Linked DNA regions of Nothobranchius furzeri. The protein of the gene in region 1 binds, or shares a complex with, the protein of each later gene. Links are inferred from orthologs where the notes say so. Each region holds a gene or a part of one and is shown on either strand. Other genes may lie near its edges. The genes, in order: cstf3 and cstf1.

Region 1 (3,816 bases):
TCAGATTTGGGTGGACTACATTAATTTCCTTAAAGGAGTGTAAGTGTTTTCCACAGTTTTTATATCATTAAAGTTAGTGTGCTCAACTCTTGAATTCCATGCATGATTTATTTATTTGTGTGTGTGTGTGTGTGTTTACCTAGTGAGGCCGTGGGCTCATACGCAGAGAATCAGCGCATCACTGCAGTACGGAGAGTGTACCAAAGAGGCTGTGTGAACCCCATGATCAACATTGAACAGCTCTGGAGAGATTATAGCAAATATGAGGAGGCAAGTGACCCAAATACCGCCCTCTTGTTGTTTTGCCTATAGCACCTTTAGCTTGCTCATTATTCCTGCACAGTATTTCTTGGTGAAACACATGGGAACTCAAACACCAAGCTCTGTTTTGAGAACACGTGCAGTTTCAGTGTAAACATGCAAGCATGAAAAACAACGATGGTTCGCATGAGACGCCCTGAAGAGGAGGCCACTGTCTTCCAAACCAAACGCACTGGTCAGCTCAACAGCTGATCTTTCTCAGAAAACTAGAGGAAACCACAAAAAACCAAAAGTATAATGAAGCACGGTGGTGGCAGTACCACGGTTTTGTTCATGCTGCTGCTTCTGTATCTGCTGGATTCACAAACTTTGATTTTCAGGTGTTTAAAAAACTGACGGATCCCCGGTCTGATCTGCCTACATTTATCCACAGGGGATCAATGTGCATTTGGCTAAAAAGATGATTGAAGATCGGAGCAGAGATTACATGAATGCAAGGAGGGTGGCAAAGGTGAGACGTCCATCAAAGATCTGTACAGGTTACTCATCCTAAAAACTCATACAGGTCTGTTTCCCAACATTCAGGAGTATGAGACGGTGATGAAAGGACTAGACAGGAACGCACCTTCAGTACCGCCACAGAACTCTCCTCAGGAGGCCCAGCAGGTGGAAATGTGGAAGAAGTACATCCAGTGGGAGAAAAGCAACCCACTACGCACAGAAGACCAGACCCTCATCACAAAAAGAGGTAACCAGTTTGAGTTGAACCTTGTTGTTGAAGCTCTTTTTTAGGTAATGGATGTACACATATGGATATTTAACTCATTTTTAAATTCAACCACCAGGGGGCAGCATTTTACACTTTCTCCTTTTTCAATCTAACCCAGGCTTCTACTTGCATTCATTGGAATTTAATTGTATTTATTTGTTGTGTGTTGCAGTGATGTTTGCCTATGAGCAGTGCCTGCTGGTGCTGGGCCACCATCCTGACATCTGGTATGAGGCAGCCCAGTACCTGGAGCAGTCCAGCAAACTGCTGGCAGAGAAAGGAGTAAGAAGATCAAATATCAATCAAATGGCCTTCGATCAAAGACGTTTCCAGATTATTATTTAACTTTTCCTTCCAACAGGACATGAATAATTCTAAACTGTTCAGCGACGAAGCAGCTAACATCTACGAGCGTGCCATTGGGACTCTTCTGAAAAAGAACATGCTTCTCTATTTTGCGTTTGCCGACTATGAAGAAGTAAGTGTGTGATTTAATGTTCGGCGTAAACAAGTCGAGAGGAAAAGCAGCACTAGAGCGTCTCAGCTCATTTCCTCTCGGTGCCTCCACAGAGCCGCATGAAGTACGAGAAAGTGCACGGCATCTACAACAAACTGCTGGCCGTGGAGGACATCGACCCCACGCTGGTCTACATCCAGTACATGAAATTCACCAGGAGGGCAGAGGGCATCAAATCGGGCCGGACCATCTTCAAGAAGGCGCGAGAGGATCCCCGCACGCGTCACCACGTGTACGTGACTGCAGCACTGATGGAATACTACTGCAGCAAAGTAAGACCACGACACACGGCCTCCTCCAAACAACTCTTTCTACCTGGTTTCTAATTCCCTTCCTTTCTTCTGCAGGACAAATCTGTGGCCTTTAAGATTTTTGAGCTTGGTTTGAAGAAGTACGGTGACATTCCAGAGTACATACTCGCTTACATCGATTATCTCTCACACCTTAACGGTAGGGGAGAATCCTCTAGAACATCTCTTTATTGCTGACTCTTAAAGCATGAAGTCTGTCCCTAAAAGTGCCCTTTTTTCTTCTCAGAGGATAACAACACACGGGTTTTGTTTGAGCGTGTTCTAACCTCAGGAAGCTTATCACCAGAAAAGTCTGGGTATGGCCACGCTTCTGTTGAGCTGTGTGTGTTTTTGCCAAAGCGTCACGTTAACATCCACAAACCTCTGGTTCCTCAGAGAGATCTGGGCTCGGTTCCTGGCGTTTGAGAGCAACATAGGAGACCTGGCCAGTATTCTCAAAGTAGAGCGCCGGCGCTTCACTGCCTTCAGAGACGAATACGAGGGCAAAGAAACGGCCCTGCTTGTGGACCGGTACAAGTTCATGGACCTGTATCCCTGCTCCACCAGCGAACTCAAAGCCCTTGGCTACAAGGTGTGCAGACTGCTCATGTTGTTTACAGCCATGGGGTTCGATCCAGCGTAGTTTTGTGTTGACATGAACTGATCATTGTCCTCAGGATGTGTCTCGTGCCAAACTGGCAGCACTGCTTCCAGAAACCGTGGTAGCACCCTCTTTGCCTACACTAAAGGATGAAATCGATCAGAAACCCAAGTACCCCAAACCAGACACCAATCAGATGATCCCCTTCCAGCCACGTCACCTTGCTCGTACGTGATCCCTTCCAGAGCATCACAGATTCACCTATTTCCAAACAGACCCGACGCATTAATGGATTTCTCTTTGATGTTTTTTCTCTGCAGCTCCAGGCCTACACCCTGTCCCTGGTGGAGTTTTCCCAGTCCCCCCAGCAGCTGTTGTTCTAATGAAGCTGCTTCCACCACCCATGTGCTTCACTGTGAGTCGCAGGCTGCAGCTGAGTGCTGATAATCTATATTTGGTGTTGTGTTTGCTTCACAGCCAGACAGGACACGGGAAAGATATATATATATATATATATATATATATATATGGTGTTAAAAGGATTTTTGTTGTAAAATGTCTTAGAAAGCTTTTTTTTTGTGACTGTAGGGCCCTTTTGTTCAAGTGGATGAGCTGATGGAAACTTTGAGGAGATGCACACTTCCTGAGAGTGAGCCACTTTTTTGTTGCTGTACAACGAAAATTGTCTTTTTTAACAGAAATGGTAAATGTCCTCCTGAACTTTGCTTTAGCTGTTGAGGCTGCTGTAGAGCTGATCACCGGCAGACTGCCCGATGCCAGTGGGGAAGGAAACGGAGCCATGGAGAACCACGCTATCGCCAAGGCACTGAAGAGGCCTAATGCTGACTCTGACGAGGAGGACGACAAAGGAGCTGTGGCTCCGCCCATACACGACATCTACCGTGCACGCCAACAGAAAAGGATTCGATGAACTCAAACATCAAAGTAAACCCTTCGAGAATGTACTCGTCTTATGGTGGTTAAAGATCAGTTAGTCATGTCTGCTCTACCAGTCTGCAGATATCCTGATGAGTGCACACACACACACACACACACAGAACCATTCAAAGTGTGTGTGTGCACCCAAGTGTTCCTGTGACTTTTGTTTTGTCAGCAGTTTTTATTTTTGAAGACTGAACAGTTTACTGTACATTTTTAACTCGATTGTGGATTTCTGTATCCAGCTCACCGTTGATCTTATGTTTCAGCCACAAAGTGCAAGAAATTTGTTTTGTTTTAGATAACTGGAGGAAACACAGTTTCTGTGAATGAAAGTGGATAAAAGCAACCATTGTGTGTGTGTTTTTTTATTATTTATCACTGGTAATATGGCTTCAAAATCTCAAGTGAATGTTTTTAGTAAATGAGTTGCAGACTT
Region 2 (4,271 bases), on another chromosome or scaffold:
GAGACTTCCACTTCAGAGCTGGAGACAGGAACGTCCACTTCAGAGCTGGAAACGTCTACTTCAGAGCTGGAGCTGGAGATGCCTACTTCAGAGCTGGAAACGTCTACTTCTGCTGACTTCGAGACAGGAGGCGTCGACTTCTGGCCTGGGGGCGTCGACTTCTGGCCTGAGGGCGTCGACCCTTGGACTGGAGGCGTCGACCCTTGGGCTGGAGGCGTCGACCCTTGGGCTGGAGGCGTCGACCCTTGGGCTGGAGGAGTTGACCCTTGGGCTGGAGGCGTCGGACTGGGCGAAGCCTCTCGGACTGGCTGGACCGGAGCCTCGTGGACTGGCTGGACCGGAGCCTCGTGGACGGGCTGGACCGGAGCCTCGTGGATGGGCTGGACCGGAGCCTCTGCGTCCTCCACCGCCGAAGCAGGAAGCGATGCGTCCTCTTGGACCACCGCTGAGGCAAGATGTGGTGATGGTAGATGGAGCTCAGAAGGGGGTTGCAGAGCAGGGGCGTCTTGGACAGGCGGCACAGCTCTGGCTTCAGGAGACTGCTGGTGATGGTGGTGATGTTTGTGACGAGTGCGTCTCCTCGGAGGTGCGGGGATAATGTTGGCAGAAACGGGGGAGAAGAGGAGATTTCTGGGACATCTACTGACCAAGAGCGCAGACCTTGAGGTGAGGATTCAGCTCCCTTAGCAACCTGACCCACCAGAAGACTGGAGGTGGCGTCAGGAGGAACCGTGCCTCGCCAGCAACGCCGATCAGGAGATGAAACCCGGACTCTTTGCTGCTGTGAAGTGGAGGGTGGACTCATCTGAGGTGCTGAGACGGCATCAACATGTACAGGAGGGATGGAGATGAAACCGGATCTGATTGTCTGAGACGACGTAGGGCGGGACTGGAGAATAGGAGCAGATGGAGGAGGATCACGGGGTACATTCTCTTCCATGAATGGTTTGCTTTATTTAAAATTGAGATGCCTGTGGAGATGTTTGTCTTTACGTGTCTAACATGGGGTTTCCACAATAGTTTATTATCGAACTACTACACCTGATGAAACAGGTGAAAGTGGACTAACTCCAAACTCTGTTTTCGTGTTTTTACTATGGGTCGTCTCTTAAAACTCCTCCTAACTGAGGAACAATTCTGAAACTCGTGTCATCTGTGTGGTTTGTCAATAAAGTTACAACACAGTAACATGACGTCAACGTCACGTGAGCACGATCTTTACGTAAAACGTAACGCACGTTTGGGTTTGGGATTAGAGAGGTTAGTATTTTTAGTTGTTACGTTTGAAGAAGCCGGGAAAGCGTCTGAAGTGTCGCCGGGTTCGTTCGCCCGGTTGTTTGTCTTACTGCAGCACTTGGTTCAGCTTACGCTGCTGCTGTCTACCTGCAGCAGTTTGTTCGGTTAAAGCTAACGCTGTTAGCATCATAGCCGTTTCATTCAGTCCACCCTGCTCTGTTTGACTGGGGTTTAGCTCTGCTTTAGCCTGTGCTGTCATAGATGACGCTAGAGGAGCTAGCCTAGTGCTGGGATAAGTTTTGCTGTGCTTGGTTACAGATTACTAGCCGCTGCAGCTGAGGGAGCATCATGTTTCGTCCTAAACCCACCCTGAAGGACCGACAGCACCTTTATAGGCTCATCATAGGCCAGCTGCTTCATGACGGGTACACCAACGTCGCCAACAGCCTCATCAACGAGGTCAAGCCTCAGAATGTGGTGTCTCCGTCCGAGCAGCTGATGCAGCTGGCTAAGATCGGTAAGACACCACCCTGTCCTGTCCTGTTTGTCCGACAGCAGGACAACAGGAACTCTTCACTTTACCTCATTTAGCTTCAGATGAAGATCAGGGTTATAGCCATTGTGGGGTTAATTAGGATGATGCAAAGGCCCAGGTGCGCGGTGATCTTAGGTCAGATTGAATGTAAGTGCTGCACCAATGCATTACTGCCTGCAGGCGACTGCAGATATCAGAGTCGCTTTTCACAGAAAAAAATATTTGTCCTCATTTTCAACAAACTGCAGTTTGTGGGTTAGAAAACGCTTTAATGGCAATATTTTGTCGAGTTTATAGGTGGTCAATGTAGCGTAGTACTGCTGAGTGCAGTTGCACAACCTACTGGAGAGAAGTGTGTAGAGTAGCTCAGATGAAACATTGTGTCAGCATGAGAAATTGGGTTTTATTTTTATTTTATTTTTTATTTTATTTTAAGTATCAGAACAATAACATGGCATAGTACTCTCATTGAATAACAATCAATTTTACAGGCAGACAGAAGTACCTTGAAAAGAGTTCCAGTAAGACCAAATACTTTAACATAACTGTGGAATTAGCTAAAGGAAAACAACACACAGGAAAAAAATAAATAAAAAATGGGGAGATATCATATTACAAATCCATATTTGTGTTAGGAGTCAGAGGTTAACAGATATTTTTCCATTGCAGAGTATAGAATTGTTGCTTTACTACTTTTCTTGAGCTTGAGACCTAAAGAAAAGATCAATTTCTTTCTGAAAAGGAGGCAAATATGGGGTATTTTTCAGAGCACGGTTCTTATTTATAAAAATTTACCTAAAAGTACAATGACATTTAAAATCAGGTCAGTTTCTTTTATTGCTGAAAAAACCCAAATAAAACATTATGTTCTGAGAATGTAGGCAGCATCTGTATTTTGGATTTTAACCAGCCTTCCACTCGTGCCCAAAAAAACCTTTGTGCAGTTACAGTCAAAGAATATGTGGCAAGTAGTTTCCATCTCCAAGCCGCAAAAGGCACAGCCATCGTGGTCTAAGTTAAATCTAAGCCACAGGAGTTCACCCAATTTTAAATAGCATTTCTTTAACTTTCTGAGCAATTGGGTATTTAAAGAAGTGACTTCTAATTCTCTTTTGGGTCTCCGAAGATGGATAACAAGATATTAGAATCTTATCGGAGAGCACGGATGAAGTATTTGAATGTAATGCCTACGTATAGATGTACTGGTTAATTTTTTCGTGTCTTTTAAAAGCGAGCCCACCAAGGTGAACAGCTGGGAGTCTGGGAATTATATTATTTATCTTTAAATTATGGGATATTAGTCAAATAGACTCCGCAATCATTTTGATTACCTTTACATATTCCTCTCTATTATGCAGGTCGTATTGTGTTTTAAAAGCATCAAACGATATGCATTGGCTATAGTCATCTAACATATGTAGTACTGACCAGACACCTTTATCAACCCAGTTTTGGTAATACAGAGATTAATTTCTTGAAATTACGTACCTACATTTCCAAAAGGGGGTAGAATGGGGGCTGAAATTGTGTTTATAGATCAGCTTCCAATATAAGAGTACTTGCTGGTGAAAGAGCGCTAGCTTGATGTGGAGCTTTCTGATATCATGGTCACATCTGAGGAGAAAGGTTATGCCCCCAAGTTTTTTGAATATCGTGTTTGGAATATGAAACCAAAAACTATCATGGTCACTAATAAAGTTCCTCAACCAGTTGATTTGAATGGTACCATTAACACAAAGTTTAGTGCACTTATTCCACCATCTTCCTGTTTTTTAACCATATTACTTTTTCTAATATAATAGTTTGAATGCTGTTAAGCATTCAAACTATTGTTTTCCTGTTTTTCTAGTTCTTCTTCTTCTGCTTCCGTACACTTTTTGAACCTTTTCTACTCCTTCAAATTTTTTACTATTTCAAAAATTTTATATCAAAACGTTCAGCTCGTCAAGCTCTTTCCGCCTCTTACTTTTGGCATTGATATCTTTAAAATTTTTCGAGTTAAGCCTTTTCAGCAAAACATTTCCCATTGAAATGAATGGGATTGGTCAATTTTCAGCTAATTCCTATCACTTTTTTGACCTAAAACTCTATAGGGTTCCTTTTAACTTAGAGACTTCATTCAAAGTTTAACAAACTCACAAGACTTTCCCGTTTAACATATTAAAGAGGCTTTTTGATATCTTTTATGGTTTTTCTAAAATCGCAGGTAGAAGTTGAGGTACGACATGAAATTTTCAGAAAAATTCACAAAAGTTATAATGGGGAAAGATAGGAGCGGTGACCCTCCCTTTCTCCATTTCTGGCGTTGTCCCGAGAGAACCGTAGGTCCGATTGAAATGAGACACATGCTGGCTTACAGCTAACGAATATTCCTTCGTTTCGAGCTATAATTCATGACTGTACTCCAAACATTGTGGTCGTACGGTTCATTTGTTTGAGAAAATTCAAATTTAAAAAAATGTCTCTCTCCACTCTAAACAGAAAATTCTGCACTCTAACT

Evidence for each region.
Region 2: the proteins of cstf3 (region 1) and cstf1 are in contact, whole or in part, in a crystal structure (PDB 6B3X), measured with the Homo sapiens proteins. The link is inferred for Nothobranchius furzeri from reciprocal best matches to the Homo sapiens genes CSTF3 and CSTF1. Residues at the interface, in NP_001317.1 of Homo sapiens: Tyr581, Pro582, Lys583, Pro584, Asp585, Thr586, Gln588, Met589, Ile590, Pro591, Phe592, Pro594; in NP_001028693.1 of Homo sapiens: Arg118, Glu216, Ala217, His226, Pro227, Ser228, Asp230, Phe231, Thr240, Arg242, Leu243, Tyr244, Cys251, Phe252, Val253, Ser254, Cys255, Tyr270, Ser272, Ser273, Ala274, Asn275, Gly291, Val292, Ser293, Asn294.

The regions. Positions count from the first base shown.
Region 1 is NC_091749.1:32,981,380-32,985,195, reverse strand, and holds the end of cstf3 (cleavage stimulation factor subunit 3), read left to right. Parts: intron 1-4; coding exon 5-39; intron 40-143; coding exon 144-270; intron 271-694; coding exon 695-772; intron 773-846; coding exon 847-1,009; intron 1,010-1,202; coding exon 1,203-1,312; intron 1,313-1,391; coding exon 1,392-1,508; intron 1,509-1,600; coding exon 1,601-1,819; intron 1,820-1,894; coding exon 1,895-1,997; intron 1,998-2,084; coding exon 2,085-2,154; intron 2,155-2,233; coding exon 2,234-2,429; intron 2,430-2,514; coding exon 2,515-2,665; intron 2,666-2,758; coding exon 2,759-2,853; intron 2,854-3,026; coding exon 3,027-3,087; intron 3,088-3,169; coding exon 3,170-3,369; 3' UTR 3,370-3,726; downstream 3,727-3,816. UniProt on the Homo sapiens protein: One of the multiple factors required for polyadenylation and 3'-end cleavage of mammalian pre-mRNAs.
Region 2 is NC_091743.1:5,435,788-5,440,058, forward strand, and holds the start of cstf1 (cleavage stimulation factor subunit 1), read left to right. Parts: upstream 1-1,178; 5' UTR 1,179-1,260; exon of another isoform or gene 1,261-1,319; intron 1,320-1,554; 5' UTR 1,555-1,584; coding exon 1,585-1,753; intron 1,754-4,271. UniProt on the Homo sapiens protein: One of the multiple factors required for polyadenylation and 3'-end cleavage of mammalian pre-mRNAs. May be responsible for the interaction of CSTF with other factors to form a stable complex on the pre-mRNA.